Macaca mulatta: one gene and its partners. The protein of the gene in region 1 interacts with the protein of each later gene in a pairwise test. Links are inferred from orthologs where the notes say so. Each region holds a gene or a part of one and is shown in the gene's direction. Other genes may lie near its edges.

What was found.
Region 2: the proteins of keratin, type I cuticular Ha1 (region 1) and CCNC interact in binary tests that used the Homo sapiens proteins (3 or more experiments, as listed by UniProt). The two-hybrid records come from large-scale screens. The link is inferred for Macaca mulatta from reciprocal best matches to the Homo sapiens genes KRT31 and CCNC.
Region 3: the proteins of keratin, type I cuticular Ha1 (region 1) and SMCP interact in binary tests that used the Homo sapiens proteins (3 or more experiments, as listed by UniProt). The two-hybrid records come from large-scale screens. The link is inferred for Macaca mulatta from reciprocal best matches to the Homo sapiens genes KRT31 and SMCP.

The regions. Positions count from the first base shown.
Region 1 is NC_133421.1:65,735,711-65,746,625, reverse strand, and holds keratin, type I cuticular Ha1, read left to right. Parts: upstream 1-5,668; 5' UTR 5,669-5,671; coding exon 5,672-6,019; intron 6,020-6,218; coding exon 6,219-6,301; intron 6,302-6,650; coding exon 6,651-6,807; intron 6,808-7,603; coding exon 7,604-7,765; intron 7,766-7,858; coding exon 7,859-7,984; coding exon of another isoform or gene 7,985-7,988; intron 7,989-8,160; coding exon 8,161-8,381; intron 8,382-9,052; coding exon 9,053-9,206; 3' UTR 9,207-9,498; downstream 9,499-10,915.
Region 2 is NC_133409.1:86,292,333-86,303,310, forward strand, and holds the start of CCNC (cyclin-C), read left to right. Parts: upstream 1-5,578; 5' UTR 5,579-5,711; coding exon 5,712-5,743; intron 5,744-10,978. UniProt on the Homo sapiens protein: Component of the Mediator complex, a coactivator involved in regulated gene transcription of nearly all RNA polymerase II-dependent genes.
Region 3 is NC_133406.1:114,157,524-114,168,415, reverse strand, and holds the start of SMCP (sperm mitochondrial-associated cysteine-rich protein), read left to right. Parts: upstream 1-5,407; 5' UTR 5,408-5,535; intron 5,536-10,892. UniProt on the Homo sapiens protein: Involved in sperm motility. Its absence is associated with genetic background dependent male infertility. Infertility may be due to reduced sperm motility in the female reproductive tract and inability to penetrate the oocyte zona pellucida.

The DNA.
Region 1 (10,915 bases):
ATACAACCAAGGGTGGTACAAGGAATGAAAGTCCTTTAGTATCACAGGATCTTGAAGCTTGAGGACTCTGGTAATTTTAATAAACTGAGAGTTGCCAAAGAAGCTCAACTCACCTCCTGCCATTGTAAAACCACCTTGTCTACTGAGAAAGAGGAGGAGGAAAATAGAATCTATAGATGCTCATTGTTTCACCATTTACAAAGCACTTGTTAAAGTACTTTGTGTTGTATCCAAATGGAGGCCCCAAACAACCCTGAGAGAGGGGAACAGGCATCACAATCCCCCTTGTGCAGAGGGAGAAGTACAGTTGTAGGGAGGTGAAATGACCCCTCTGCACCTCACGGCAGGTGAGGGGCAGCTCCATGCACCCAACCCCAAGTCTTCTCATTTCTGTTCCCCTGCTCTTTCCCTGTTCCCAACTGTGAGGGCCTTGCTGGAGGTACATGTGGATAAAACTTCACATTCACGCCACTCTGAAATCCTGGATGGATTTTACGGGAAAGGCATCCTAGGGTCTGGGATCTCGCTAGGGGTGATCTTCTCAGTGCTGTCCCCCATTAGCATTTTAGACTCAGCTTCTGACCTTTCGCCATCGCCTGGAAGCTCCCCTGTTTGATGCTGGTTATTGCATCCAAATGTCCCTTTCCCTTCTTCCTCCCTAGTTCTTGGACATCCTATACAACCTGCCTCAGTGATTCACATTGGTCTCCAAGGCCCTCTGCCCTCAGGAGGTCTCTCTGGTCTCAAGGGGGCACAACTGTGTCCACTCACCAGCAGGACTGCGTCCTCCCTCTGTTTCCCTCTACCAGCCTTATTCCCCTTTCTATTTCCTCTGTCAATTTACTTGATTTACTGTGGTTACTTTTCTTTTTCTGCCCCACACCACATCCCTGGAATGATTTCTTATACTGCACCTGGCAAAAAGCATGTTTCATTTGCTTTGAAACTTACCTTGACTCCCATGGATCCTGTGGGGATGCCACAGGGCTGAAGAGATGGGCCATCACCACTGCCTCTCCTGTGGTCTGCAAAGCAACAAGAACCAGATGCCGAAACAATTCATTACCCTGCCTGGCTGAAGACTAGATTATTAAAGGGAACAAGATTCTAATGAGAACAGTTCTCTGAATCCTGCTTGAGTCACTTAGAGAGCGAAGCACAAACAACTCTTTGGGATACAAGTGCATAACCTGAAATAGCTTCATCTCCTCGCCATGTGGCTGAAAATCATGAGCTGGATTGGAATGCCCTAAATGGGGTTTGGGTCAGGGTGGGTGTAGGAAGAAATGGAGTGGGTAGGGGAAGGAGATATTTTTGGGTGAAGGCTCAATCACATTACATTATGTTAGCTGTGGACCTGTCTGCTTAGCAGGACTCAGAGTTCCCGGGTGGTGGGGACATGACATGCCCCCACTCCCCACAATGTCCCCCGCCCCTGGGACTGTAGATGTGCAGATGCACACAGTAGATGTTCAACAAGTGACTAATGCCCATAATGTCACACGTACATTTTTCTTTTTATTTATTTTTAATTTTTAGATGGGGTCTTGCTGTTGCCCAAGTTGGAGTGCCGTGGCATGATCTTGGCTCACTGTAACCTCAAATTCATGGGCTCAAGCAATCCTCCTGCCTCAGCCTCCAGAACATCTCGGACTAAAGTGTGCTCCACCAAGCCTGGCTCGTTTTTAAATTTTATTTTATTTTAATTTTTTTTAGATGGAGTTTCGCTCTTGTTGCCCAGGCTGGAGAGCAATGTTACGATCTCTGCTCACCGCAACCTCCGCCTCTTGGGTTCAAGCGATTTTCCTGCCTCAGCCTCCCAAGTGGCTGGGATTACAGGCATGTGCCACCACGCCCGGCTAATTTTGAAACTCATTTTTAATATTTTTTTGTAGACATGGGGTCTCGTTAAGTTGCCCAGGCTAGTCTTGAACTCATGGGCTCAAGTGATCCTCCCACCTCAGCCTCCCAAAGTGCTGAGATTACAGATGCAAGCCACTGTGCCCAGTACCCATTTTCTATTTACATTGAATACAAACATATTTCCAAATGTCCATCTTACACCTTCTAAATATCTCATCTCCTTAACTTCTGGCTATTTCTCATACATATTGGGGACCCATCTTGGCCTGAATTGTTCATAAAAAACATTTTTTTCACCAGAACTACGATTCTTTTGTTTTAGTTTAGTCTTATGCTCAGCATAGAGAAGCTGTGTAATAAATGTGTTCTGAATTAAATTGAACTAAATAATGAATGTGGGTTTGATAGCCCACTGACTGCTCAATTTCTCCTTGAATGAAAAAAATTTGCAACTATTCCAACTAGGAAACTAAGAGAATACATGAATTCTATCCCTTGCCTGTGTGAGGTCATGGGGACCTTACAACCCTGGGGTCCCATTTTCCCCACTAATTCAAGGAGCAAATTCACTCAAGCCCACTGAGATCTTAGAAACACTGCAAGAAAGAAGCTAGATTTACAAGAGATGGCAGCATTGTGTTTACTCACCAGCCAGTCTCTCTGTGGTCCCCATCCTGAATTCTTGTGCCACTTCACATTCTGCAGGGCAACCAGCAGGGAGAAAAAGGAGTCTCTAGGAGTAACCAGAAGATAACAGGGGTCGCTTGTTCTCTCCTGCATCTTCTATGTGGCTGTTGACGGGCCATGACCTGCAGCCAGTGCAGGACTGACTCTCCCTGCTTCATTTCTCCTTTCTTCTCTTCCCACTCCTTATTCCTTCAGGAACAGGCAGTGTTGCTCCTTTTAGACCTTACACTGCCTGGGTGTAGATGGCAGTATATTTCTCAGCCACAAACAAATCTTAAGCTGGATCACAGAGGTGATGCTTTGGTCTGGACACCTTGGAACAATGTCACTTCTTTCAGAGGCCTCAGAAGCTGCAGTCCCGTGTCCATAGATCTTTTGAGTCAACTCGATTTATGCCTTGCAGGACACTCAGCATGGTGGGCCACTCCTCAGTCTATTGGCTTATTTTGCCTTGGCTTCTTCTCAGCTTTGCATTCTCCAGGTTAGCCCCTTGGAAGCTGGGCTAACTTTGTCTGATTTGTTGCATGATTCTGAAGATTCTTCCCTCCTAACTTTCTTCCTTGTCTCTTCTTTTTCTTGTTATCTCTCCTCGTCTCCATCTCTTTCCATTTTTCTGATCTCTCTGCATTGTACAAAAATTCTATGTTTGCTTTCTTGTCAATCCATTCCTTGAATCTTCTCATACTTAGAGCCTAAACACTCTTCTTTGACTACAGTCTCCATGAGGCTATGCCGGCCAGTCAGTAGATAGGACCCAAGAGCTTGGAGAAAACTGCTGGCATTTAGTCTGGGCTTAGGTTAAAGCCTCCCTGGCTGGGGAAGAAGAAAGGGTTGAGGAAACAGCTGCTTGCTGGAAAGCCAGTGCTTGGAGCAGGCTGACAAGAGTTAGGAAGCAGAAGGCCTGTGCTGTCATCTATAAGCTAGTGCTCATCAATCAGATGCATGAGCCTTTCCATTCACCCCAAGCCCAGATGAAATGAGACAGAAGCTCCCCACAGACAGCTGCCGCCTAGCCTTGCGTCCTTCCTCTGGAAAGTCTCAAGGGTAACAGCCTGTAGACCCGCCTATTTCTCCACGTTTAATTGTCTTGCAAGGAAACAAAGAAGTATAGATTTTATTATAAGTCTAGATCTTCCTTGTAGTGCTGTGGGTCTTTTCATCTGAATGGCATTATAATAAGCAGTGATAATGGTCTTGGGGAGTGTAGATGAAGGACCTTTTATCTGAGACCCAAGCAGAGTGTGACATGAATACCATCATGAAAGCTCAATGGGAGAAGCACTCCAATAAGTTGTCAATAAAACGGCAGCTCTGGCTGGCAGCCAAAGCCACAGTGGAGATGGGGGTGCTGCCTCCAGAGATGCAGGTGGTACCTGACGGTGCCTATAATTATGCAACTTTTATATATTCAGAGCTTTGGCTACCTCTTCCTCAGATCTTCTAGTGCCTTCCTTCACCTCCCAAAGCAACCCCAAGTGACTCCAGCTTGCCTTGCAAAACCCCCTTGCTCATGCCGTGCTCAGCATTTTCTTTCCCGGTGCACAGGTCCTTGGATTTAATTATACAACCACAGAGACCTCCTTTGGTACCTTTAGACCTTTGGTTCTTAAAGCAGGGGGCATCTACAGTAGGGCTGGAGATGGGAAGCCCAGGACAGAATATAGCCCATCTTCCTGGTGTATCCTTTTCTCTTAGTGAATTGGGCAAAACATTTGAAAGTTTAACTGGAAATTTAAAAGGGGCTTTTAGAAAACATTAAAGCCAACATGGATATATTATGGAATATAGGGTCAATTCACATGAAGTTTAAAGATCAAATACATGTGATTTCATGCCTGTGGAGGCCCCTTTGGGCTATCTCCTGACTTTCCTAACATATCCATCTACTCTGTTTGGATACTATGGACACCCGAAGAAATGTTTGACAAACACCTCCTTATTCCTTTCTCTCTCCTTATTCCTTTCTCTCTGCCCCTAAATATCTTTTCTAGGTCATTTAAATGCCTTTTTCTGTTTGTTTGTTTTTTGAGACAGAGTCTCGCTCTGTCACCCAGGCTGGAGTGCAGTGGCGGGATCCTAGCTCACAGCAAGCTCCGCCTCCCGGGTTCTCACCATTCTCCTGCCTCAGCCTCCCGAGTAGCTGGGACTACAGGTGCCCGCCACCACACCCAGCTAATTTTTTTTTGTATTTTTAGTAGAGATGGGTTTCACTATGTTGGCCAGGATGGTCTCAATCTCTTGACCTCGTGACCCGCCTGCCTCGGCCTCCCAAGGTACTGGGATTACAGGCATGAGCCACCACGTCCGGCCTTAAGTGTGTTTTTTATGGCTCTCTCAGTTTGCACTTTTCAGCCTTCTTTCAAAATGATCTCTTACCCTAGAAACTTCTCTGTTCTCAAACTAGTTATCAAAGCCTCTACCTTTAAAATTCTCTCCTCTACAATTTTCTTAAGTAATATGCAGTGTTGGCGGGGAAGTATTACACGGACCCGTAAAACACAAATTGCTGTCTAATATTTTCATCCCTGTCCTCCATTGATTCTAGTCATCCACCTTAAGGCTTCCAAGGCATGGAATGCTCCATCATTTGAAGATTCTTCTTTAAATGAAGAGGGAAACACAGTCCACTGTGGCCTCTTAATGCAACTTCTTCCTCAAACCAATCCGTGTTTCTCCCTAGAAATGGCAGGTGGACCAGGACATGAGTATGTTTATGGGCCTGCAGGATTATGTGACACAAAAGAATGTCATTGGATGGATCAACACCTCAATTAATGAGGGCAGATACTTGGGCTGGACTGTGTAGCCTCTTTGAAGGCCTACCACAGAACTCTGATTTCATGGGTGGACTGTCTGCGGAGGAGTCCTGACTTAGCAAGAAGCCCAAGTAAAGAATTTTATGGGACAAGGGACTCTTCTGAGGAAGGCAAATAACAGACTGAAGGAAAGGGCGTTTGAAAAGAAGTGAAGAAATAAAAAGAAAAAAGACATTACATACTGTGTCCACACCCTCTGCAGTGGGATATAAATGCTCCCTAGAGGAAGGAGACCCACAGCTCTGTGGCTTGGAGAATTTAGACTCTGTCTTCAGCCAGGCACTCACTCCCTCCCTCCCAGCACCATGCCCTACAACTTCTGCCTGCCCAGCCTGAGCTGCCGCACCAGCTGCTCCTCCCGGCCCTGCGTGCCCCCCAGCTGCCACGGCTGCACCCTACCCGGGGCCTGCAACATCCCTGCCAATGTGAGCAACTGCAACTGGTTCTGCGAGGGCTCCTTCAATGGCAGCGAGAAGGAGACCATGCAGTTCCTGAACGACCGTCTGGCCAGCTACCTGGAGAAGGTGCGTCAGCTGGAGCGGGACAACGCGGAGCTGGAGAGCCTCATCCGGGAGCGGTCCCAGCAGCAGGAGCCCTTGCTGTGCCCCAGCTACCAGTCCTACTTCAAGACCATCGAGGAGCTTCAGCAGAAGGTGAGGGGCATTGCTGTCATCTCCAAGCAAGAGAGTTTGCAGTGATTCTGTCTGTGATAGAGAAGTGTGTTTCTTGCTTCTGTGCTGTCATAATTCTTGCTTCCTCTTTTATTTCAAAATGTCTTTTTAAGTCATTTTTAAAAAGTTGATGATGTCATATTTATTTTCAGTCCTCACTAAGCCACCTCTCACTCCCCAGATCCTGTGTACCAAGTCCGAGAATGCCAGGCTTGTGGTGCAGATCGACAACGCCAAGCTAGCTGCGGATGATTTCAGAACCAAGTGAGTTGTTCGGAATTTGCACTAGTGTCCATTTCTTCTGTTTAATCTTTAGTTACAGAAAAGGGATTTCCATGGCTGTACTGAAAAACAGATCTACCCACTTGCTGTGAAGGATTCTGCAGAGGATTGGGGAGAACCAAGCAAAGAAATCACAAAAATAGATGAGGACTGACATCAATCTGTTTGTTTTGGGATGAATATTGGGTATTGATGGAGCCTCCAGAAACCTCTGTCTCCTGGGCCTATTCATTACAGAAAGTGGAAAGATAAGGCACATGAGGTTATCAAAAATCATTCCTGTGAGTGTTGAAGATCTACCAAGTAGTGCTCTGACCCGCTCCTTGTGCAGGTACCAGACTGAGCTGTCCCTGCGGCAGCTGGTGGAGTCGGACATCAACGGTCTGCGTAGGATCCTGGATGAGCTGACCCTGTGCAAGTCCGACCTGGAGGCCCAGGTGGAGTCCCTGAAGGAGGAGCTGCTGTGCCTCAAGAGCAATCACGAGCAGGTGAGACTAGAAATGAGAAATGCACAAACCTGTCTCAGCCTCTGACTCAGGGTAGCTTTAGTGATTAGGGGCAGCAGAATGCAGAGTATGAGTACAAGGCTGAGGGTTTCCTTTAAAAACATCACGGCAAGAGAAAAATTGGAGAGAGATAAGACCTGTTCATGTTCCCAGACAGGAAACATCTTTCACTTTAAACTAGCACATTCTTTGAGTTGCCCAGAGCAGCTCCATGTGCTTGAAATTGGTCAATAGTTATAGAATGAGTCCTAGCATTGCAGTGTTACTGCTTTGCAAAGTCTTTTTTTTTTGCCAAAGACCAAGAAAAAAAATCAAACCTTATAAATGTGAGTCTCTACTCTTTCAAAGTATTGGCGAATAGTGTTTGTGAGCTTCTTCCTCTCTCTCCTGGGAGGGGCCATGATATGCTCTTATCTCTTACTTGACAACAAGAGTTTTTTGATATACGGTCTGAAATTGCACAGCCAATTTTATTTTTTTTTTGTATGCTGAGGTCCTCACAGCCAGTTGTAAACTGGGAAAGTTGAACCTCAATTAGTCCATCCTTCAGTGGCATCCAAGCAAACTTTTGGGATTTTTTTCTGAAGCCAAGTGCCATGGCACAGCAGATGGTGGGGAGGGGGCTATGCCACATGGAGTGCCTTGAGCTGTCACAGACTGCTCCACTCAAAGTTTCTGTTCTGAGAGAACAGACCAACAGGGCTTCAACAAGCAATGCCATTCCTTAGAGTCCATTCTTTGCTGAGCATAGTAACTCTTGTATTTTCTGCATCCATAGGAGGTCAACACCCTGCGCTGCCAGCTTGGAGACCGTCTCAACGTGGAGGTAGATGCTGCCCCCACTGTGGACCTGAACCGGGTGCTAAATGAGACCAGGAGTCAGTATGAGGCCCTGGTGGAAACCAACCGCAGGGAAGTGGAGCAATGGTTCACCACGCAGGTGGGCATCTAAGCACGTGGCCACTCAGGACCCAAGGCCCACCCTATGGCCCCAGAGGCAGGGTCTGATCCTTTCTCCCCTTGGGTGTTTCAGACCGAGGAGCTGAACAAGCAGGTGGTATCCAGCTCGGAGCAGCTGCAGTCCTACCAGGCAGAGATCATCGAGCTGAGACGAACGGTCAATGCCCTGGAGATTGAGCTGCAGGCCCAGCATAACCTGGTGTGTATTGTTCTGACCTGCTGGTGAGCAATGGGAAATTGGGAGGCAGAGTCCTGGGGATGCCCTTGGGGCCACACACTCTCCTTAGCTCTTGGAGCTTGTGACTTCCTTGGAATCCTATGAAGAAACCCTTTGAAGGAGCAGCTCTCTGACATTCTGGATCTTCCCCACCACAGCGAGACTCTCTTGAAAACACACTGACGGAGAGCGAGGCCCGCTACAGCTCCCAGCTGTCCCAGGTGCAGAGCCTGATCACCAATGTGGAGTCGCAGCTGGCGGAGATCCGCTGTGACCTGGAGCGGCAGAACCAGGAGTACCAGGTGCTGCTGGATGTGCGTGCCCGGCTAGAGTGTGAGATCAACACGTACCGGAGCCTCCTGGAGAGCGAGGACTGCAAGTGAGTACATGGGCAGATGTATTTGATGAAGCGGTGCACGTGTGAGTGTAATACTCAGACACAATGCAAAGATTGCATACCTTGGAAAGGAAATTATGCCTTCACACTAGACATGCTCAAACAGAACTCAGACAATATAATATGGCCATCATTTAAAACATAAATGGTTTGGTAGCAAGAGTTGTTTGATGTACAAACTGAAATTGCACTGCCAAGTCTTTGCATTCTACTGTGATAATATGCATGACTGCATGATATGTGATCAATGCCTTACTTTTTACAATACCGTATTGTCTAGTGGGTACATTTCCATAGACTACCTGATTTGATCTTATAATTACCACCAGGTGGGCTGGATCAGTATTTCCTCCAATCTATAGGAAAGTAAACTGGGGCTTGGAGAAGGTAAATGACTCAACCCCATGTCATCAGTTTGGCATGAACGGATTTGAGAGTAGACATCAGAGTTTCAGAGTTTCTGTCTACCTTGGTGCTCTATGGCAGGGAGACCATGAACAATGTGAGCTATCTTTGTAGCAGGGGAGCCTGTGCCTTCTCTGTTCTAGGCTAGGCCAAGTCCTGACAGGCATTCTTACCCTTGGGGATATCTCTGGCATATGATTTTAAAATTTTCCTTAACTCACCTTTCCACATCATTCTTTTGTCTCCAGTCTGCCCAGCAATCCCTGTGCCACGACCAACGCGTGCAGCAAGTCCATCGGACCCTGTGTCTCCAATCCCTGCACACCTTGCGTTCCTCCTGCCCCCTGCACACCCTGTGCCCCACGCCCCCGCTGTGGGCCCTGCAATTCCTTCGTGCGCTAGAACCTAGGAAATGCCGGAGGAGCAAGGATGCAGGGCCCAGGACTGCAGAGCTGTGACCTGGCTCTGGTTTAACAAAAGGGGCCTGAAAACATCATTTGCATGGCTGGAGTGGCCCCCGTAAGGCAGCCAAGAAACTTACCCAAAGCCTGCAGCCTCCCCAACTACTCTAGACTGTCCTGCTCACCCTTTCCTTCCTGGGGGTCTGTTCCTTCCTATGCTCACCCAGAGAACTCTCTGATGTCCCCGTGGCCCTCCCTTTTAACCTCCTAATAAATATCATTTCCTTGGCAAAGCAGATGCCTTTTTCATTTGTATTCATTTGTTTCAACGTGCTCATCACCTGAGTAAGCTGTAAAAAGCCACTTGAAAGACAGGCCATATAATGGCCTGACTCTTGGATCCCAGAGCAGTTTCATGCCTCGGGGGCAGATGGCGAATCTGGTGCCCTGGACCCAGGAGCGAGGCAGGCAGGCCTGTGGGAAGGAGGGTGGAGGGGCTGAGTGCTGCAGTCCCTATCTCCCCCTGGTCGTTCTTGGATTTTTCCTTCTGACTTGGACATCTCCCAGAGCTGCTTGTATCCAAATCTGAATGGAGGAGGCATGAGCTGTGGGCTGGAAAGAAGCTCTGGAAAACTCATCTTCTTCCAGTGGGAGTTTCGGGTTCAGTGCTGTATTATTCTGGGTTATTGGTGGTCCAGGAATTTCCCAGTGAAGAGACCCTCTGACCTGCCCTCCTGTGCCCAAGAATTCCTCCTTTCCCTTGTGTGGGTCAATCATTATCAGCCTGGGCTTCCAGCTCCTCTCTTCCCTCCTCGACTCCAGGTCTTAGAGACCCCATCAACTCTTTATTTGATCCTTTGGCCTTTCTCAATTCAATCCAACCAGTATCTGTTGAATAGCTACTCTGTGCAGACGCTGGGTGGTGGATTGGGGAGAGACACATGAAGAAAGACGCAGTTCCTGACCGCAACTTATTTATAATTTTTTAAAAGGGATAAAACTAGTCCCCGAGTGGTGCTATTGTAAGGCCCAGTTCCCTGGCACTGTGAACAGCTGGTGGGTGCTACAAGGAACTCTGAGTACTGAAAGGGACAATGCTGGCGCCCGATGGCATCAGTGTATATCAAGAAAGGGCATCTTTCTTTGACTCTCATGAAGACCCATGAAAGTGCTTAACTATAGACTTCCTGAAACCTCAGAGGGCCATTATGATCTGAAGGGATCAGAGGTCTCTGACTTTTCCCAGCACACCAGGCTTTCCTAGCAGGAATCAGACTCCACTTGGGTGAAACATAGTCCTGTGTCCTAAAATGATCAAGTGAATTGAAATTGTATATATATTTGATAAAGCAATGATTCTCTCCACCATAATTTCTCCCTTGATTCTTCTTTTTAAAACTCAAGTTCCAGGATGGATTTGGATTCGTGCTTTGCTGCGTGGCTTGTGAGAAGCCTCTGACCTGGAATTCTGTCTCTACTATGATTCACCCAGTGTCTGTGATTTCCTCCAAACCCAAGGTCAAGCTCAGTCCAGACGGTCTCTCTCATGTTGCTTGTTTCCTTTTTCCACATCCTGCTTAAGTATATTATTTTACAATAATACAAAAGTACTGCTAATAGCTCCTGTGGTAGACAGAATAATTGTCCCCTCCATCTCTCACCAAAATGTTCATGTTCTAATTCCTGAAACCTGGGAATATGTTAGATTAC
Region 2 (10,978 bases), on another chromosome or scaffold:
TCATGAATGGATTAATGCTGTTATCCTGGGAATGGGTTCCTTATAAAAGGATGAGTTTGGCCCTATCTTGTGCTCTCTTGCGCTCGCTCGCTCTCTCTCTCTCTCTCTCTCTCTCTCTCTCTCATCTTCTCTTTGTCCTTCTGCCATGGGATGATGTAGCAAGAAGGCCCTCACCAGATGCCAGCCCCTCAATCTTGGACTTCCCAGCCTCAAGAACCCATGAGCTAATAAATTTCTGTTCATTATGTGAAAGTTGTCAAGATCAAAATTGAGTCATTTGGGTTAAAAAATAAAAATAAAAAATAGAGCCTCAAAGGGCCATGAAGGAAGGGTTCTCACAAATAAATGCCTGGTAACAAAAACTATCACAAAAGCTACTGCAAAAACCATAACATTGCACAAACACCACAGCAACCTTGCACACAAAACAGTATTTCTGTGAGGATATCTGCCCAGCAACTGCCTATCTAACCTTGGACTGGTGTCACTTTTGTAACTGATCCTTGTAGCCATGGCTAAATTATCTCAAAACAATTATGTAATCCTTTTCATTTTTTCTTTAAAAACCTTTGTGTTCCCTTACCTCCCTAAATACCCATGTAGTTTACTAAGGGCGCACATACTCCTATTGCAATGCCCTATTCCTGAATAAAGATCATTTTATTTTAGAGAGTCTCTCTCTGTTATCTAGGTTGACAATTATAAATTACCCAGTCTGCTATTCTCTTACAGCACAAAACAAAGACGCTTTCCCGTAATTTAGAAGTGTATTAATCTTCAACAAATACAGGTATACCAGAACTAAAATAAAGGGAGGTACAGGGGATGACTACATAAAGAAGAGGATGTTTTTCACAATAAGGACTAGTAATAACAAAGCAAAGTAATTATGATAATAATTTAATTAAAAAATGAGATTATCTCCAATAATTCTGTTCAAGAAGAAAAACTTGTACTACAAACTTAGAATAATGTGCTTATAGCAGTTTAGTCATAGTAGTTTTGTTGAAGCTGTCTAGTTGGGTAAAAAAGTTATTGCACTGTGAATCAGAAGAATCGGATTCCAGGTATTCTTGCCTCTATTTAACTAAGTGAGGTTAATAAAGCCACTAACCTTCTAGCTCCTAGTTTACCACAAATAGTATTCATGAAAGCACTGTAAGAAGAAAAAGATAAATGCTTTCTTGTCACAAGAGAGTGAACACTAGCATCAAGAACTTATTGACGTTTTAAAATATTAAAAGAGTATAATTGGATTGTTTGTAACACAAAGGATAAATGCTTGAGATGTGGATACCCATTTACCCTGATGTGATTATCACTTATTGCATGCCTGTGTCAAAATAGCTCATGTATCCCATAAATATATACATCTACTATGTATCCACAAAAATGAAAAATAAAAATTTTTTAAAAAGAATTTATTGAACACATCCCTGTTTGAAAAGCACAAGGTAAGTTGAAAATTGGAAGGGACAACATTAATTTATTTCATCAAGTTTAAATTAGTGGGTAGTGAGGCCTGAAAAACAATACTCATAAAATTATAAAGAAAAGTTTAAAAAATGATCAGTGAAAAAAGGCAAATCTACTAGATAGCTCATGATCTTTTTGCATCCAGGTAAGCTGGGATATCTACGCATTTTAACAGCTTTTATAAATTTCTCTATTCCACTAGAGATATCCTTAAATGAAGTTAGCTTTTGAATCAAGTCAATTTAATTCAACCTACATTTATAGAATGCCCTCAAAAGCAATTTACTCTGAAACTAAGGAAGCCTAAGCTCTAGGCCTTTGACTTGCACAGCCCCCATGAACACTGGGAGCTGCAGGGCATTTGGCGGAAGCAGAAACCAAGTCACAAACAGGAAGAGGTTCTATGTAGCACTTATTGTAAATTGCCTAAAAGAGTTCACAGAAGGAAAGGACCTGAATTTCCACAGCTGTGGTAAGTTGTTGTGGCTCTTTTTGCATTCTAAATGTAGTACTCACTTTTCAGCATAATTTTGTATCCATAATATTATATCAAAGCACATCCCCCAAATTCTGCAAGAGATTTAAACACCAGTATTTGCTATGCCTACTATGCATTATACCCTGAACTAATGGAAATACAAAGATGAAGGATCTCACTGTTTTGTAGGAAGAAGAGTGCAGAATTAGGTATAAAACAAAATTGCAGGTGGCCTATAATCCCAGCACTTTGGGAGGCTGAAGTGGGTGGATTATCTGAGGTGAGGAGTTCGAGACAAGCCTGACCAACATGGTGAAACCCCTTCTCTACTAAAAATACAAAAACAAACAAACAAAAAAATTAGCCAGGCATGGTGGCAGGCATCTGTAATCCCAGCTACTTGGGAGGCTAAGGCAAGAGAATCACCTGAAGCCATTGCACTCCAACCTGGGTGACAAAAAAAAAAAAAAAAGTGCTAGTCCAGTAACAGTAACAAAGTGTAGTGTAATAGGATTGCTTATAATAAAACATTAGTAATACTAATTCGTTGCAGTATCCTTAACTTCTGGATGCCAGGCTGACAAAAACAAACAAACAAAACAAACCCTGAGAGAGTTGAAGAAATCCTGAATCTGTGAAATAGCCCACGGCTTGGAGTTTCTTAAGGTAGTGCCTTTTAAATATTTTTTATTGTGATCTGCCGTGTAACAGACAGTAGTGTTCATCAAGTATACTACACACTCCTCTGCATTTCTCAGCTTTCTTTTTTTTGAGACAGTCTCACTCCGACACCCAGGCTGGAGTGCAGTGGCATGATCTCAGCTCACTGCAACCTCCACCTCCCAGGTTCAAGCGATTCCCCTGCCTCAGCCTCCCAAGTAGCTGGGATTACAGGCATGCGCCACCATGCCCAGCTAATTTTTGTATTTTAGTGGAGACGGGGTTTCACCATGTTGACTAAGATGGTCTGATCTCCTGACCTCGTGATCCGCCTGTCTCAGCCTCCCAAAGTGCTGAGAGTACAGGCGTGAGCCACCGTGCCTGGCCTCAGCTTTCTTCACAGTTAAAAACTGGAGGCATGTGTCTATTCTGGCACATGAGAGAAGGTGATTGGGTTGTTTCTGTTTTAAGGCTCTTAACACTGGGTAAGAGCTAGTAAAATGAGTCCTCTGTGCTCTCTCTAGAAAGATTTTAAGCCTAGAAGTAAGATGGAGTAATTGAAAGATGTATAAATATTAGATTCTTGCAGATCTGGAAGACAACCATCAAGGAGAGCAAGCTGACTTTATGGGACTTTATGGGAGTGACCTATGACATGTAAAATACTTTCATGGTAAGCTATGCTGATTAGGGGTGGGGGTGGGGAGGTGTTACCACAATTTCACCTAGTGTAGCTTATCCAGACTAATTCATTCTTTTTTCTTTTTCTTTTTTGATTTGGAGTCTCACTCTGTGTTGCCCAGGCTGGAGTTCAGTGGCACAATCTCTGCCCACCGCAACCTCTGCCTCCTGGGTTCAAACGATTCTTGTGCTGCAGTCTCCTAAGTAGCTGGGACTATGGGCAGGTGCCACCACACCCAGCTAATTTTTGTATTTTTGGTAGAGACCGGGTTTCACTATGTTGGCCAGGCTGGTCTCGAACTCCTGACCTCAAGTGATCTGCCCACTTCGGCATCCCAAAGTGCTGGGATTACAGGCGTGAGCCACCACACCTGGCACAGACTAATTCTCACGTACAAATAAATGCATTTCACATCTTGACTGTGTGTGTATATAATATAAACAAAATTTAATATAATATCCTTGCTATTTCTGATTTACCTAGTATTTTCTGTTCTATTTAGGAACATGATTATACTTAATTTTACCACACCCTAATTGGTCTCCATCCACAATGTTAAAAATACTATCTTAAGTTGCCTCAGATGCTGATCGTCTATAAACAAGTTTCTGGCGTGTCCAATTATTTAGAAAAATAATTACAAGTTTTACAACAAATGCATTGTTACAATGAAATTGAAATGGAAAATACAAAACATTTCATCTTGTAAAATTAAATTATGGTTCTTGCAGTATGTTTCTATTTGGTGCAAACATATACATACATGTGCATACATATGTGCATGAATGTTTTTAGGTGTTTTACAAAACCGGTGATTTCGCTGCTCTGTAAGTTTGCACTTTTCTATCACTCCAAAAGAACTCCATTAAGATCGCGGCCTGGCGCGGTTGCCCACGCCTGTAATCCCAGCACTTTGGGAGGCAGAGGTGGGCGGATGACGAGGTCAGGAGATCCAGACCATCCTGACCAACATGGTGAAACCCCGCCTCTACTAAAAATACAAAAATTAGCTGGGCGTGGTGGTGCGCGACTGTAGTCCCAGCTACTTGGGAGGCTGAGGCAGGAGAATCTCTTGAACCTGGGAGGCAGAGGTTGCAGTAAGCCTAGATAGCGCCACCGCACTCCAGCCTGGGTGACAGAGCAAGAGTCTGTCTCAAAAAAAAAAAAAAAGAAAAGAAAAAAGAAAAAAAAAGAAAGAAAAAAAAAAAAGAAAGAAATCGCTTGATCCAGGCCGGGCCTGGTAGCTCACACGCCTGTTAATTCCAGCATTTTGGGAGGCTGAGACGAATGGATCACCTGAGGTCAGGAGTTCCAGACCAGCCTGGCGAAATCCCCTCTCCACTAAAAATACAAAGATTAGATGGACGTGGTGGCACGCGCCTGTAATCCCCGTAATCCCAGCTACCGGGGAGGCTGAGGCAGCAGAATCACTTGAACTCGAAAGGTAGAGGTTGCTGTGAGCCAAGATTGTGCCACTGCACTCCATCCTGGGTGACAGACCCAGACTCTGTCTCAAAAGTAAAAAATAGGCCGTGCGCGGTAGCTCACGCCTGTAATCCCAGCACTTTGGGAGGTCGAGGCGGGCGGATCACGAGGTCAGGAGTTTGAGACTATCCTGGCCAACATGGTGAAACCCTATCTCTACTAAAAATACAAAAATTAGCCGGGCGTGGTGGTGCGTGCCTGTAGTCCCAGCTACTCGGGAAGGAGGCTGAGGCAGGAGAATCGCTCGAACTCCTGGAGGCGGAGCTTGCAGTGAGCCGGGATCGCGCCACTGCACTCCAGCCTGGACGACAGAGCAAGGTAAAAAAAACAAAAAACAAAAACAACAACAAAAAAAACTTGATCCGTGAGAACAAAGTCATCTTCATTTATTTCTCTTTCCAATCACAGGTAAAATAAGTCACAAAATCTTTTATTTTATTACAATGCCATTGTTCTGTTTTTGAAGTCCTGGAAGAGGTAATAACAGAACCCCGGAACTCAGCCACTTCGCCCAGGTTAGACCCCTACTCAGCAACTCCAGTGCTGAGGACAGGAGACCGAGCGCCGTGGGCCCCCGGCCAGAACAGGCAAGACGCTCTCGCGAGAGTCTTCCAACCGCCGTGAGCTCTCGTGAGCACTAGTTCTCTTCTATCTCAGCGCCCCCACAGGTCAGCACCTCCCCGCCGGCTCCCTCCGCTACCGCGGGCCGGAACTTTTGTCGATAGGAACGGGTTTGCACAGTTGAGTGTTGTCGGCCGGCGTGAAGGAGACTAGGGGGCCATCCTCTTCCTTTCGCCGTCGCCGCCGCGGAGCGGAGTCGAGCCGAGCTGATTTGATCGAGGAGCGCGGTTACCGGACGGGCTGGGTCTATGGTCGCTCCGCGGGCCGCTCCGCCGGCTGGTGCTTTTTTATCAGGGCAAGCTGTGTTCCATGGCAGGGAACTTTTGGCAGAGCTCCCACTAGTAAGTGATCTTACGTCTTCTCACCTGGGGCCGGTTTTTGGGGGGCTGTGAGGAAGGGGCCTGCGACTCCCTTGGGCCTGGATCCCGGCTCAGTTCCGAGTGCCGGGGTCCTCAAGGGAGACGGCAGCGGCCAGAAGCAAGATGCTCTTTTCTGAGGCGACTCCCCTCCCCGCCCCCAGCCCGTTTCGGGGAGGGAAGGATCTGTGAGGGGGAGGGGTGGGAGAGAGTTTAGTCTCCCAGGAAGAAACGTTTCAGAGTTTAATTTCGGATTTTTAGTTTAACTAGGCCGCAGGGGGTCGGATAGAGTGGGCACAGGTACGGGAAGTGTGACTCAGCTCAAGACTGTGAGGCTACCTGTTCAGGACAGTTGTGGCGTGCTTTTGCTTGGGATTTCTTCGGGTGATTGGCGTCGTGGTCTTTTGTCATTCACTGTATATCTTGAGTGGATTTAATATTCTGAGGAGAGGAGAAAGTCTGGCTTGTTTCTGCCTACTAACCTCTTCTTGCCAGTACTTTATGTCTAGATGGAGTTTTATATTGATAAGGTATAGGGCAGGTGCCCTGTAAACTTATCCATTTCATTAGCCTGTGCCTTATATTTTGTTTTAAAGGCGTATTTTTCCAGTGATTTTGTTTCTCTATTTCTTTAACCTTTTTCATGAATAAGTTCTTGTTTCTGTCAGTGACTATGTGAGAGCTAGAATAATATTAAAAACATTTATCTCTAAATACATTTGTTTAAGCAGGCAGGAAGGTGCGTGATGGGGTTAATTGAACATTGAGTAGGCTTTCCACTGTATAGTTGAAAGATGAACAGAACTTGACAAAGAAGGTATCTTAGTATAATTTTTTATGCTAAGAAAGCATTAGTAAGTAATTTAAATTTCGATTCTGTGAATAGGATCTGTTCCTGATGTTCATTTTTTAGCCCTTTGCAAGGAGAAAAAAGAAACAATGAACTCGGTAACCTATTTAAGGAAAAGCAGGTTTTCCTCTTGCTATAAAGTGATTCTGTGGAGATGACATGTTAAAGAGGCAGGCAACTGATCATATGTGTATGTGTGTGTATATATATGTGTGTGTGTGTATTATATATATGTTGCATTGTTTTCACACACTGAAATATTGCTTGGGCAGAATTAAAGTATCGAAAGTTTAGGTATTGGAGTTAGAGCTCCTGAAAAAAAAATTTAGGTAGTGGAGAAGAGAGATTCTGATAAACTTTGAAAGAAGCCGAGAGAATTGACAAGTAGCTGACTGGTGATTTGTCAGTTTTTCAACTTAAAAAAAAGCTCCTACCTTTTTTCAATGGTGTTCTCATTATGCTTTCATTTATTCATAGCGTTATAAAAACATTTTTTCACTTTTCAAATATAAAATTATTACAAAGTTAAGTGTACTTCTTTGAAACTATTCTCCCAATTCAAATACTCCTAAAAGAAGGGATCACTTTGCCTTGCTCAGATCCCTTGAGCAGTCATAGAGTTTCTTATCTGGAAAAGGTAACAAGTATGGAAGACAAGACAATTCTGGAAAAACAAACAAAAGATTTTGAAAGGCCATTGTTTTAGCTGAATTTGGTGAAAGAGGGCAATTGACATTAAATATGCTATATTTCATGCTTCTAAGATGCATATTTTCACACTTTAACATCTTTGAAATGAGCATGGCAGTTTCTTTCATAGCATATGAAATAATGATGAATCCAAGATGTAATCTTAAATTTGATGAAATGCAGTATTTATAAATTTTTTTAGTTTATCCTGCATACACAGCTCTGAGGAAAATTCATAAAATGTTTGTGAAATTTATGAAATTTATCTTTTTAAAAACATAAAATGACTCTGTGGGGATGAAATTAATTAGCAAACCACAATGTAGTTGAAGTAGAACAAAACACAGTCTGTGACCAAAATGAACTAGAAGGGGACTAAGTATTTGCTGGGTTGATTGAATGCATTAATGAAGGAGTAACAAAAATAGAAACTACAAAACTAACTGTGGATACTTTATTGTGTGAAAAAGGAAACTGAAAATACAGTTACTTAATATCTATAAAATAACATCATAATATTACCATATATGGAATGTAACCAAAGCTTGAATGTATTAGAAAATCAATATCCTGAATAATTGAGAGATAATAGAAATATTCTATTTAATAATACTAAGAAGGAAACATGAAATAAGCCTAAAGAAACAGGAAGAAGATCTTAAAATAGATAACGCTGATGCTAATATATTAAAAGGAAAAAAATTATAAAAGATCATTCTTAGAGTAAACAAAAACAGTAGACGAAACTACTGCTAGTTAAATCAGGGGAGAAAGGAATGATACAAAAATACAAAATTAGGAATGAGAAAAGTAAACCCAAGGGTACTTTTGGGTTATCTCCAGGGTTTTAAATTTGAAAGCCAAAGCAAGTTAAGAGTATTACCCAAGAACTATGCCTTATTTCATGGGTAAATACATCTTTCAAGAGAATCTCCTTTTGAAATTGTTCCATTTCATACAGAAAGAAGAAAAGCTTTCCTTTACAAAGCCATGATAACACTTACAGAAAAATCTAGTAAAGGGAACACTAAAAACAGTCTCACTTTTGAATACTGATGCAAACATTGTAAATGAATTATTACCAAATACAGTCTAACATTACATTGAAAGTATAAAACGTGACAGTGGATTTTATTATAGAAATATAGTCAATGAAGCAGTAAAGGTATTAAAAAACTAATGCAATTCAACATTTATCCTTGACTAAAGCTCTTACTAAAACAGAAACAGGATGCTTCCTTAACATGAAAAACATATCAAAGCATCAGCAGTGGTAAAACATTGGGATAATTAGGGTGCCTATTTAAGATTTTACCAGTATACTAGTGAATACAATTGATACAAAGGAGATATAGAAAGAATGACAAAACAATGACAAAATTATCAATACGTGGAAATAAAATTAATGAGAAAACTCAGTTAATTGAGAAGTTATTAGAAATAATAAAGGTTTAATAAGGTGACCAGTTATAAAATACAAAAATAAAAGCTTTTTAAAAATGGATAGAGAAGTATAATTTACATTAGCAACAGAAAATATAAAATACAGAGGGAAAAATATAAAGAAATATACAGAACCTGTAGGAAGAAAACTTTAAAAGTCCATAGTGGCACATACAGATTTTAATAAAGTTTGAATTCTTGGTAAGATGTCATTTCTCCCTATATTGATCTTTAAATGTAATGCAATCACAAAATTTGAATGGATATTCTTTTTTAGGACTTGACATAATGCTTCTTAAGTTTGGGTCTTAGAATAATAATTGTGATAAAATGTCAGAAATTTTCAGGAGAATAGTAGCAAGGAAGTATTTTTCATACCAGATATTCATTACTTAATTTTCTGTGTTTTAAAATAGCACAGCATATGAACAAGAAAAAAAATAGGAAATTATAAAGAAGATCCAAGTATAGTGATAGAATTATAAATCAGAAGATAACTTAGCGCATTTGGATAAGCATTTGACAAAATATTTAGCTGGATCCCAACTTTATACTTTGTACCAAAATAAATTCCAGATGGATCATAAATTGAAGGAAAAAAGCCCTTAAGGGTATTAGAAAATATGGGTGAATTGTTTATCATTTTGAATCAGGAAAGACCTTGCTATGCCTGACAAACATGAAAGTAAAAGATAGATTTAAGTAAGTGATTCAGATTTCTGTATTACAAATAATTAAATACTGAGAGATATTTAAACTTGGGAGAAATTTTGCACTTATTTGTCAAACAAGTGATTTATTATTCATACTGTACAAATTTTAGATGAGAAGAATCTCTTAATCATTAAAAAAATCGGTAATACCATTAGAAAAATGGTCATATTAGAATTAACATTGTACAAAAGAAGAACTGTATATGACCAATAAAGACATAGAAAGATGTTTAACCTCAAAAGTAAACTACAGGGAAAAGAAACAGTGACGTACTACTTTGCCTTTAAGTTGCAAAATATTTAAAAGTGGCAGTAACCCATAGGATTAATTTTTTTTTTTTTTTTTTTTTTTTTGAGACAGAGTCTCTGTCCACCAGGCTGGAGTGCAGTGGTATGATCTCAACTCACTGTAGCTTCCACCTCCCGGGTTCAAGCAATTCTCCTGTCTCAGCCTCCCAAGTAGCTGGGACTACAGGCACACGCCACCACGTCCAGCTAATTTTTGTAATGTTAGTAGAGACAGAGTTTCACCATATCGGTCAGGCTGGTCTCAAACTCCTGACCTCAGGTGATCGGCCCACCTCGGCCTCCCAGAGTGCTGGAATCCCAGAGTGCTGGAATTATGAGCCACCATGCCCGGCCAGGATTAAATATTGTACAATTCACTCATGAACTGTTAATACAAATGGAAATTGGTATAATGTTTTTGGAGGGTAAACTGACAATGTGTATCAATAAATTACCAGCAACACTAATCCTACTTCTGGGAAGTTATTTCAAATATATTATTAATCAAATATGCAAGGAGAATTACAAAGATATTCATTAAGAAGCATATCATTCAGGAAATAGTAGCAAGGCAGTATTTTTTTATACCAGCTATTAATTACTTAATTTTCTGTGTTTTAAAATAGCACAGCATATGAACAAGAAAAAATAGGAAATTATAAAGAAGATCCAAGTATAATGATAGAATTATAAATCAGGAAATACCTCAGCGCATTTGGATAAGCATTTGACAAAATTTTAGCTGGATCCCTACTTTGTACCAAAATAAATTCCAGATGGATCATAAATTGAAGGAAAAAAGCCCTTAAGGGTATTAGAAAATATGGGTGAAAAATGATAACCTATATTTGCATCAGTAGAGATTGGCTAAATAATGATCCATCCATAAAGCTGTATGAAAGACTGCTGAACAACAAGTTAATTGACATAAGACTTGGAATACATATTGAATGACAAACACAGCTTCAAGATCGTTTTTTCTTTGAGTCATGTCAATTTCATATCTCTGGTTAAAAATAGCACACTTGACTAGGCAAGAGGAGGAGGCTATCAGTGTAACACATTCTGAGGCAGTTTTTAATATAATTAGATTTGTGAAGTAAGGAAATTAAATGCCATAGTTACCCATGAACAGCTGAAAAACTATATACTTCCTCAAATCTAAGCGACCATCAATTGGTGCCAAATAATTCCACCGTTATCTTATATCACTAAGAAAGAATAAACATGCTGCCA
Region 3 (10,892 bases), on another chromosome or scaffold:
TCTTCATACAATATTGAGAATGTGGCAATTGCCCACATTGAACACAAAGGTGCCTCGGCAGAGACACAATCTCTGATTTTAAATCCTTACCCTGAAGGGTCGGCTCCTGGGAAAACAAGTGTTCCTCAGGCCTAAGGCCCATGGAAAGGGACCGCGACAGATGTGGGAAGCAAGGCAGCACTTCTGGAAGCATCGGAGATGAATCCTATTCACTTCAGTGGGCAAAAGCCAAGCAGATGCAGGGACAACCAGACCATAAATGGAAGGAGGGTCTGAGTCTGACAAAGAGACAGCGTGCACCCCTTTGTTCACTAAAACCTGACCAAGAGAAAGCTCAACTTCAGAGCCTTTCTGCTTTCATTGCCAGAGATAGCTCTAACTCTGCCAGTCTTGCCCTTGCTAATTCAGTTCCTAGAGGTCTGTGGTGGAGAAGTTGTGCAGAGGGTTGTCATTCTATTTCCTGGTTTAGGTGGGTGTCACACAGATGTTTTACTTTGTTTAAATGCATTGGTTGAAATGCATTGGGCTGTATTCTCAATGCATGTATATTACAGTTCAACAAAACCACATTAAAATAATACACATGAATGAATAAATATAAAAATATCCAGGACAATTCTTAAAAATAAAATTAATGTGTAGGAGCTAGTTCTACTAGATTTACAATATATTCTAAAGCTATTATAGTTAAACAGTTTGTTCTGGACCATGAATATACAGACAGATCAATAGAGCATGATAACAAGTTCAGAGCTGGGAAAAAATATGCAGAAGAAGCTAATATATGATAAGCACACCCTCAAATCTGTGAAAAATCATCAATTAATCAATAAATAATGTTGCTACAACTGGGAAGCCATTAATTTAAAGAAAGAGTTCTTAAAGGGTTAAAACATTAAAAGTTAACTCTTAAGAAAATCTGGGAGTATTCCTCTACACTTTCAAAATGGGGATCAGTTTTATAATACAACAAACAAGAACTATAAAATAAAAAATTTTTAAATGTGTTTACATAATTAACATTTTCTATATGGTTGAAATATAATAAAGTCAAAGGTCAAAAAACACAGCGGAAGAAATTTAGTTTCTCATAGCACAAAAATAACTTAATTTCTCCAATATCGTATAAGTGCTACAAATCAGTAATAAAATCATCAAGAATACGGTTAAGTATTAGGTAAGTTATAACATCAGGCAGTTCCCAGAAAATGGATGTTGTAGTTTATTAATGTAATAAAATATAGTTCTGCTTAGTTACTAAGAGAAATTCAAAACTACTTTGCGATCCCGTTTTTAACCTACCAGATGGGCCAAGAACAATTAATTTAAAAATACATCATTTTGATGAATTTATGGGGGAAAATTGCAGTCTTATACATTGTAGGGAGTGAAATAAATCAGTGAAACTCATATGGAAGAAACTGGAAATACTGATCAAATTACAAAAGTAGCCTCTGAGTCAGCAATTGCACTTAAATAAATATATTCTATCTCCTCCTGAGGAATGATGTATAAATAATGTGTTCACTGCAGCATTGTTTGCAAGGGCCAAAATTGGGAACTTCTGTATATACATAGGTTATTATCCAGACTGGGAAACAAAGGGAGAAACTCTTAATGTACTGAAATGGAATGATCTCCAACAGATGCTATTGTAAAAAAAGCAATGAGCAAAACGATGTGGAGTTACTCTTATTTCGTTAAAAGAAGAAAAAATATACATGTTTGTTTGGGGTTTTTGTGCATAAAATATCCCTGAAAGGATATTTCAGAAATTGATCTCTGTTAACTGAAATATCTGAGTCGCATGTGGGGGATTTCACTGTGTATCCTTTGTAACTTCTGATTTTAGGCCCAAGTAAATGTGTAATAATGATCAGTATTAATAATATTAAAGGAGAAGGGCCAGGCACCGTGGTGCATGCCTGTAATCCCAGCACTTTGGAAGGCCTAGGCAGGAGGATCTCCTGAGCTCAGAAGTTCAAGACCAGCCTGGGTAACGTGACAAAACCCCGTCTCTACAAAAGATACAAAAATTAGCCAGGTGTAGTGGCATGCGCCTATAGTCCCAGCTACTTGGGAGACTGAGGTGGAAGGATCACTTGAGCCCAGGAGGTCGAGGCTGCAGTGAGGCAAGATCACACCACTACACTACAGCCTAGGCAACAGGATAAGACCCTGTCTCAAAAAAAAAAAAAGTTAAAAAAAAATCACATTAAAGGAGACCTACAGGAAGCAGAGCCTCAAATGCTAGAACCCAGGAAGACAGCACCATAAAGACTCACTCCATTACTGGAGCTAATTACATCATTACATCAGCAAATTCCTGCAAACCGGCCTCGACTTTTCTCACCATCAATTAACATAGCCCATGCAGCAAAGAAAGATGGTCATAGTCTTCCCCACTTTTGATAACAGAGGCAGAAAAACCTAAGGAGGTAGGAGTGGGGCTGCCACAGGACACATTCTGCTAGTTTGAATGATGCATTGAAAACAGCCTTAGGAAATGGGTTCCCCAATTTGGACAAACAGTTAGAAGTTATTGGCAGACAAACTGATTAGAAAAAAAAGACCAACAATCACCATTCATGCATTCAACTAATATTTTTTGAGTATTTACTATGTGTTAAGAACTGTTCTGTCTGAGAGCCTGAGATATATCAGTAAGCAGCATTTGCCTTTTTGGCAATGACATTCTAATGAGAGAAGACAATACATAAAACTACAATAAATAAAAATTAGCTTATTTTAGTGCTATGAGATACTGGTCTTTATATTATATGTCTATTATATTATATTTGAAAAGTACCACCAGAGGAAAACAAAACAGGACTGTGTAAAGATATCCATGTGAGAATATTAAATAAGCAGTTGGATACGAAAGTCTGAAGTTCTGGAGAGATGTCTGAGCTGTTATTAACAAAGTAGACATCATCATCACTGACATATAGATGGCCTTTATGGTCAGGAGACTGAATGCTCCAACCAAGAAAATAAGTGTTGGTGGAGAAGGAAAGAGAGCCGAGGACTCCAGCAGGAAGTAGTCAGGCAGAAGAACAGGAACACACAGAGTTCCAAGTTAATGTACTAGTTAAATTATTCTTCCATGCGTTTATTGACTAAATGTGGATTTAGTACCTACGATGTTCCATACAGTGTGTTGGAACTAGAACTTAAATGGTGAGCAGAAAGTATACCTATCCTCACCTCCTAGATAGCCTTCATTAGCTTAATTTTAATTAACTAACACGCGTCATGGTTAAAATTCAAATAGTTTATGTGTATGTGATCCTTCTAGGAAAATGTGTATGTGATTCTTCTAGGAAAATGTGTATGTGATTCTTCTAGGAAAATGTATATGTGATTCTTCTAGGAAAATATTATGTATACTAACATATACTAACATATATATTTATCTTATATATATAAGATATATATATCTTTATATATACATTATTTTTTATAAGACAAGGGATACACTAACATTGTTTACTGGATTGTTTTCTTTGATTACATGGTTGGGAGAATTTTTCATAGCATCATCTACAAGCGGACTCTATGCTTTTATTAGCTATATACTATCCTATTACATGATTGTAAAATGAAATCTCATTAACGGAATATGAAAATACTGGTTTCTCAACATATTCATTAATGATTAATGTGATCAAAATTTCATGTTTGTTACTGGACTGTCATGGAAAAGCCAGTGTCTCATTGATCTTCTGGTTTGCATTCCTTTAGTTATGAATAAGCATTTCTTAATAGGTTTGTTGGCCATTTCCACCTCTCTGTCTCTCTCACTCTACCCCTCTCTCCCTCTCTGTACTCTTCCTAGAAATAACTTAATTCTTATAGATTAAGGCTTTGGTCCCAACTACAATGTTAGACACTTGGGGAGATGTGAATGAGAGCAGACATTTTACTGAGAATAAATTTTGGAAATAACTATAAGCATGAAGACCTGAAGAAGGCAAGTGAAAGAGAAGTACTTGAATAGTATATTATAGAATGAAAAGCACAATTCAATTCATATACTTCCCAGGAGTGCTACCCTTTGGCCGAGGTAGTTCTGTCCTGGACTTCACACTTTAAAAGAGTCCTTCTCTGGTTCTCTTCCAGCCATGACCCTGGCCATAGGATAATTTGATATTTCAGTGTATAGGCCCAGAGCTGCTGTCTCCCTCATACCCACTATCCAGGATCCCATAAATCTCTGTCAAATGGCCCTGAGATCATCTTTATGTGTCCATCCTCCTGAAGACTCAAACAACCAACACTGTGCTCACTTCTAGGTCTCAATAACCAAGAGGGGGCAGTTTGAGAGATCCGTGTGTGAAAAGAACATGGATGGTATGGGCTAGGATACTTACACTCATGCACACCCAAGGTCCCTCATGGCACAGGATGAAGCCAGGGAGTAGGAAGAGAACAAGGGGTGAACCACAGGGGTCAGAAGCCTCTGTTTAGGCTCTTGCCTGGTGTCCTACAAGTGTTTATGGCAGGCATGCTTCCCAGGAGAAGAGAATTTCCTAGTCACTGTCCTTAAATGTCCTTAAATGTCCATGCTAGAGGAATAAAGGAAAAGAACAAACATAATGAAATGCTTCTCTCTTCTCACCATGTTAGTCAATTCACTATTGAATTGATTCAGTTTCGGAATCTTTTATGTGCCAATTGCTCAGCCAGACACTGGGAATATCAAAGTGAATAAAATAGGGTCCTTGCCCCTAAGGCATCCCAGTTTCTCCCCTGTTTAAAACCTTTCGGTGCTTCCCATTGTCCTCAGGATAAAGTCCAAACTATTTTCTTTATGGCATAAAGAGTCCTCACCAACACAGCCTTACCTACCTAGGTAGGTGAGTCTCCCCCTTCTCCTTACTCCCCACTCTGCTCCAGCCGCACTGAGCTTTTCCACCAAATAGCTTATACTTTCACATTTCTGGATCTGAAAATGTCTCCCAGACACCCCCTTCCTATTTCCAATTTCCAAGTCTCAGCTTAAATATCACTCCCTCCAGGAAGCATATCTGACCCCCAAACCTGACCCCTGTGCTTATCCTACCATCATTATTATTACATGGTATTATTGGCTATTGACTTGCCTCCATATTGAATTGGTTCTTTGAGAATGGAAACTACATTCCATTGAGCTACACTTCACTTTTTAGGACACAGCCTGGTAGATAGGAGACACTCAATACAGATTTGTGTTTTAGGTCATTGCATGCTTATGGGTTAGCTAGGGAACTTTGTATCTTTCAGGAAAGAAACCGAGAAGAGTCAGACTCTCCAGCAGGCAGAGGGCGCTAGTGAGTGAGCTAGGCATAGAGTCCTGGGGAGAGGATTATGATGTCATAGAGGCTTAGAATCTTGGTATTAGCAGGGGAGGGAACCAATCTGGTTCAGAAGACTTTGGCTTCTGATAGTCATGGACTCACTAGGCTGCTGAGGAAGATCAATAATATCTACTGGAATCAGTCATCAGAAGTCAAGCATGGAAATTGTGAATTGAGAAGTGTGTGGCCAGACCAGGTAACACAGAAACCTTATCTTTTGGGCCCTCTCTGCATGGCTTTTTAATGTGTTCATTCATTATATATTTACTTACTGAGGCCCATGCAATGCCATTCAGTGTGCTGGATGAGAGGATTCCAGGATTCATCCTATATTTCAGGAAAAGGCTCCTGCTTCCATTTAAGAGGAAGCCACTGCATCCTGGCCAACACGGTGAAACCCCATCTCTCCTAAAAATACAAAAAAAAAGTAGTTGGGCATGGTGGCAGGCACCTGTAGTCCCAGATACTCAGGAGGCTGAGGCAGGAGAATAGTGTGAACCCTGGAGGCAGAGCTCATCACAGTGAGTGGAGATCGAGCCACTACACTCCAGCCTGGGCAACAGAGCGAAACTCCATCTCAAAAAAAAAAAAAAAATAGGAAGTCACTGGAGCCTCTGGGGGTGGGGATAGTGAGGATATCTGTGCTCATGGAGCTAACGGACCACAGAAGTCAGACAATTAGGGAAATAATAACCACTATAAAAATGTAATGAGAAGTACAGGGGATCCAAGAAAGCCTATCAGGGAGACAGAGGCTATGGGTTAAGGAAGTTTTCCTTGAGGAGTGATGTGTAAGCAGAGACTTCAGGTTTGAACGATTCAGTGAGCATGTGGGGACAGAGACCCAGGAAGGGTGGTTCAAGCTGGGGAAGAACACATTCAAAAACCCGGAAAGAGGTGAGAAAATTCAGCAGGTGTCTGCTCTGAGCCAGTCTGGTGCCTGAGAGAACAGTGGGTGGACATGAGACTGGGCCGGTGGGCAGACGTCAGACAGAAGGCACCTTGCCAGGGCCCTCCTGGTGGTTTGGGCTCTGTATTAATCCTCACTGAATAGAGCAATAAGAAAAGCTAGGAAGATGGCCCTGGCCCTGGGCCACAGGTGTTTGATGTGATCAGGCAGATTTCCTGAGGCAGGCTATGCAGAGCTTGGTTGGGAAGGAGGGGAAACGGAGCATGGAGAGAATATTTATATATTTATTTATTTTAATTTTTATTTATTTACTTATTGAGATGGAATCTCATTCTGTCTCCCAGGCTGGAGTGCAGTGGTGCAGTCTCGACTCACTGCAACCTCCGCCTGCCAGATTCAAGCGATTCTCTTGCCTCAGCCTCCCAAGTAGCTAGTATTACAGGTGCATGCCACCATGCCGAGCTAATTTTTGTAGTTTTAGTAGAGATGGAGTTTCACCATGTTGGCCAGGCTGATCTCAAACTCCTGACCTCAAGAGATTCACCTGCTTTGGCCTCCCAAAGTGCTGGGACTACAGGTGTGAGCCACTGAGCCTGGCCAAGGAGAGAATCTTAAGAAGAAACTCTTGCAGGAGGCAGAGTGGTCAGGAGGCACATTTATTGTACAGGAGCTAGCGTTCTGAAAGTGGAGGAAATAGATAATATTCACTAGGCAGAAGGAAGACAGTGGAGACAGCATTGGCTCAGAGGGGCAGGACCTGCATCCATGGGGGTGAAGCTGCAGAAGGACTTGATGTTGCCCTCCTTATGCTATAGTCAACAAGACTGGTTTCTAACCTGCTCTCCTTCTCTGATATGGCACAACCTCCATATTCAGGACCTGTTCCCAGGACCTGACTATGGGGGACATGCTTGGAGTGGAGATGTTGGTGGGACTAGTGAGGCAAGCCCCTGGACCCGGGCTCCAGGTGCCCTCTGATGCCTCTGCATCTCTGGTCACCGGAATGAGAATTGCTTCTGTAGAAACAGCTCAGCCTGGACTTGTAAGGATGGACCCTAACAAACTGGACTTCCACGTGGTGATGAGACTCTGCACTTTGGTCAGTTCAGGGCACTGACCTTCAGAATAGAGAAAGGTAAACCGGAGACAAAAGACAGAAATATAGAGACAGGATGAAGACCAGAGAATGATAGAAAGGCAGAGAGAAAAAATAGTAAAAGGCAAAAATAAACACAGAGAGAAACAACAGAAAATAAAAACAGAAGAGGCTCACTCCTTCCTCATCCCTCTCAAAACCTAGTCTTAGGTCTGACCCCTAAGGGAGCAGATTCAAACAACAAGGAGACAGGGACAAATACTGGGCTCCCTGCATACACCCACACACTCAAACTCACCCCTGTACAGCTGCAGGGGCAACCAGGTGTATGCTTGTGTGCGCATGTGGACACACACACTTCCTGTCAAACAGCTATGAACACTACAAAGGTGGTAGAGAACATGGCCCTGTACTCTTTCACCTCTTCCCTGTTTTTATGCTGGTCTGTCTGTGTCTTATTTCCATTTTTGGTGTACCTCTCCATTGCTCACCTCTCTCCTTCCCGTTCCCTCTCAGGCAAGTCAAGGCATTGCAGGGCCTGCATCTGCCACCTCAGCCTCTTTGCAGCTTCCTCTGACCTAGAAGGAGCAACGGGGTGACTTGTCCCCACGCCCATCCTTTAGGAGTCTTGCTCCAGTGTCTTTCTCTTAAATGGAAGCAGGAGCCTTTTCCATGAAAGATAGGATGAATCCTAGAATAAGTGGCAGGGATAGAATTGTGACTAAATTAAAGTCAACATCCTAATCCAAGTCACTCTTCCTTTTTTAGGTGGGAACTGCCCTTGACCCAGTTCAGGCTGCAACCGTATAGCCAGAGACTTAGGATCATGAAGGGTTTAGACCAGGTGGCAGGGCCTTAAGAGATAACTCTTCCTTCTCAATTGTCTCTCACCCTAATGCTATAGTTCAGAATATTCAAACATAGGGGTCCTTATAGGAGGTAGCACTGTGCTCCCCTTCTTGCCAGAGAAAGTCTTGGGCTTTCTCTGTAAGAAGGAGGGCCCTGGCATATGTCCAAGCCTTCTCACGCACATGCCAGGGACCTCCTTCCCACAGAGAAACCCTGAGATGAGGCTCCAGTGGTTCAGAAAGTGAAAGTGAAGAGAGGCCGGCTGGGGCTGCGTCCAACATGTGAGTCTGAAAGTTACTGTTACTAGTGGGTGGAGGTGTCGACCACACCTGGCTCAATGGGACCCAGTTTTTACACTACGAACTGGATTTAGGTGAATCCCCAGATAAAAAAGGGTTGAGTCTAAGAGCATGTCACCCATCATTCAGGACAGCCACAGCCCTGGGTCTTCTATAAGTCACAGGGGTGATTCAGATAGCAAAGTAGGTCATCTGACAGGCATCCGTTAGCAACCACCTGACTGGAGAATCATGCACACCTTCAGGAAAGGATGATATAGATTTTTGTCCTACTGGGGTGGATTAGTCCTTCTCCACACTGCTCTAAAGATACTACCCAAGACTGGATCATTTATAAAGGAAAGAAGTTTAATCGACTCACAGTTCCACATGTCTGAGGAGGCCTCAGGAAACTTACAATCATGGCAGAAGGCAAAGGGGAAGGACCTTCTTCACTTGGTGGTGGGAGACAGAAGTAAGAGCAGGGGAAATGTCAGAACTTATAAAACCATCAGATCTTGTGAGAACTCACTATCATGAGAACAGCATGGGGGAAACTGCCACAGTGGTTCAATCACCTCCCTCCCTCAACATGTGGGGATTATAGGTCCCTCGCTCCACATGTCGGGATTACAATTCAAGATGAGATTTGGGCAGGGACACAGACCCAAACCATATCATTATCATGGGGTAACCCCCAGAAATAATTCATTTTTCTATTTTAATTTATTTTATTTTATTTTATTTCATTTCATTTCATTTTTTGAGATGGAGCTTCACTTTTGTTGCCAAGGTTGGAGTGCAATGGCACGATCTCGGCTCACTGTAACCTCCGCCTCCTGGGTTGAAGTGATTCTCCTGCCTCAGCCTCCCGCGTAGCTGGGATTACACGCACCTGCCACGACGCCCAGCTAGTTTTTGTATTTTTCGTAGAGATGGGGTTTCACCAAGTTGGCCAGGCTGGTCTCGAACTCCTGACCTCAGGTGATCCACCCGCCTTGGCCTCCCAAAGTGCTAGGATTACAGGCATGAGCCACCATGCCCAGTCCTCCCCCGGAAAGACTTTAGTGTCAGGAGAGATTTGTAGCTACTGTTCCCAGGAGTCCCTCTATCTACAGAACACAAAAGAAGAGGACAAGACAAGAGATGTGGCTTTCTAAACATCAGGGAGAGGGTTTGAGCAGGACTTGGGGGAAGTATCTTGACAGCAGGTACGGATCAGATGGAGGGCAAGTAGGGAGTGTCCAGCAGGAGAGAGACGGCTAGGACGGAGGCTGGCCCCTGCTAGGAGCTATTCACACTGGCTCTAACTGTTAAGACTCATGAGAAAGTTCAAGTAATATCAATTTGATCCAACTAAACAGCCATCATCACAAACCTCAAGTTCTCCTCACCATGTACTTATGATTATGCATGGACACATGCCTACATGCATTCACGTGTGTGCACACAAACACACAAACACACACACACACACACACACATTCTCACAGAGATATGGGCAAGTGTGTGCTTAGTGGAAGCCCACAGCAGTAACTGGTTCAGTTTAAAAAACTAGTTTGGGGCCCGGTGCAGTGGCTCACGCCTGTAATCCCAGCACTTTGGGAGTCTGAGGTGGTCGGATCACCTGAAGTCAGGAGTTTGAGACCAGCCTGGCTAACACGGACAAATCCCATCTCTACTAAAAATACAAAAATTTGCTGGGCATGATGGCCGGTGCCTGTAATCCCCGGTACTCCAGAGGCTGAGGCAGGAGAATCACTTGAACCCGGGAGGCAGAGGTTGCAGTGAGCCAAGATCTCGCCCTTGCACTCCAGCCTGGGCGACAAGAGTGAAGCTCCATGTCCAGTAATGGTACTTCCCTCCAAAGAAAAAAGAAAGAAAGAAAAAAAAATTAGTTTGGACAAGAGGCTTTTCTCACAATCCCGAGGATGCCAGAGGCCAGAAGGTGGTTGCAACTTCACTTCAGCAATTGTCAATCCAAATCCCACACCCATCCCCCACACCGGTGACAGGGCTCTGACAGGCCTGGTGCCTCACCCACATGGGTTTGTGGCTTTGTGAGCTGAGTCCCCAGAGGGGGTATAGGCTCATTTCCCATGCTTCCACATTTCCCTGAGGAGGCTAGATAACAACCTGCTCACTGCCTACTGTTTCCTGGCCACTTCTAGACCCTCTATTCTGCTCTGGGGCCACAACAGTGGTGTTCATCCTCTCATCATGTGCCATTGGAGGGACAAGGCAGAAACCACATAGGGGCTTCCCCAGGGGCTGCATACTGGGGCCAAGGCCCAGGGACCTTCTTGGGAGAACTTGGATTTCCTGGGTGGAGGAAGGTAGATAGATAGAAGTAAAGCAAGAGTTGTTTGGATTTTCTCTATACCTAGAAGAATGAGGAAATTACAAAACTGCTGAATGGT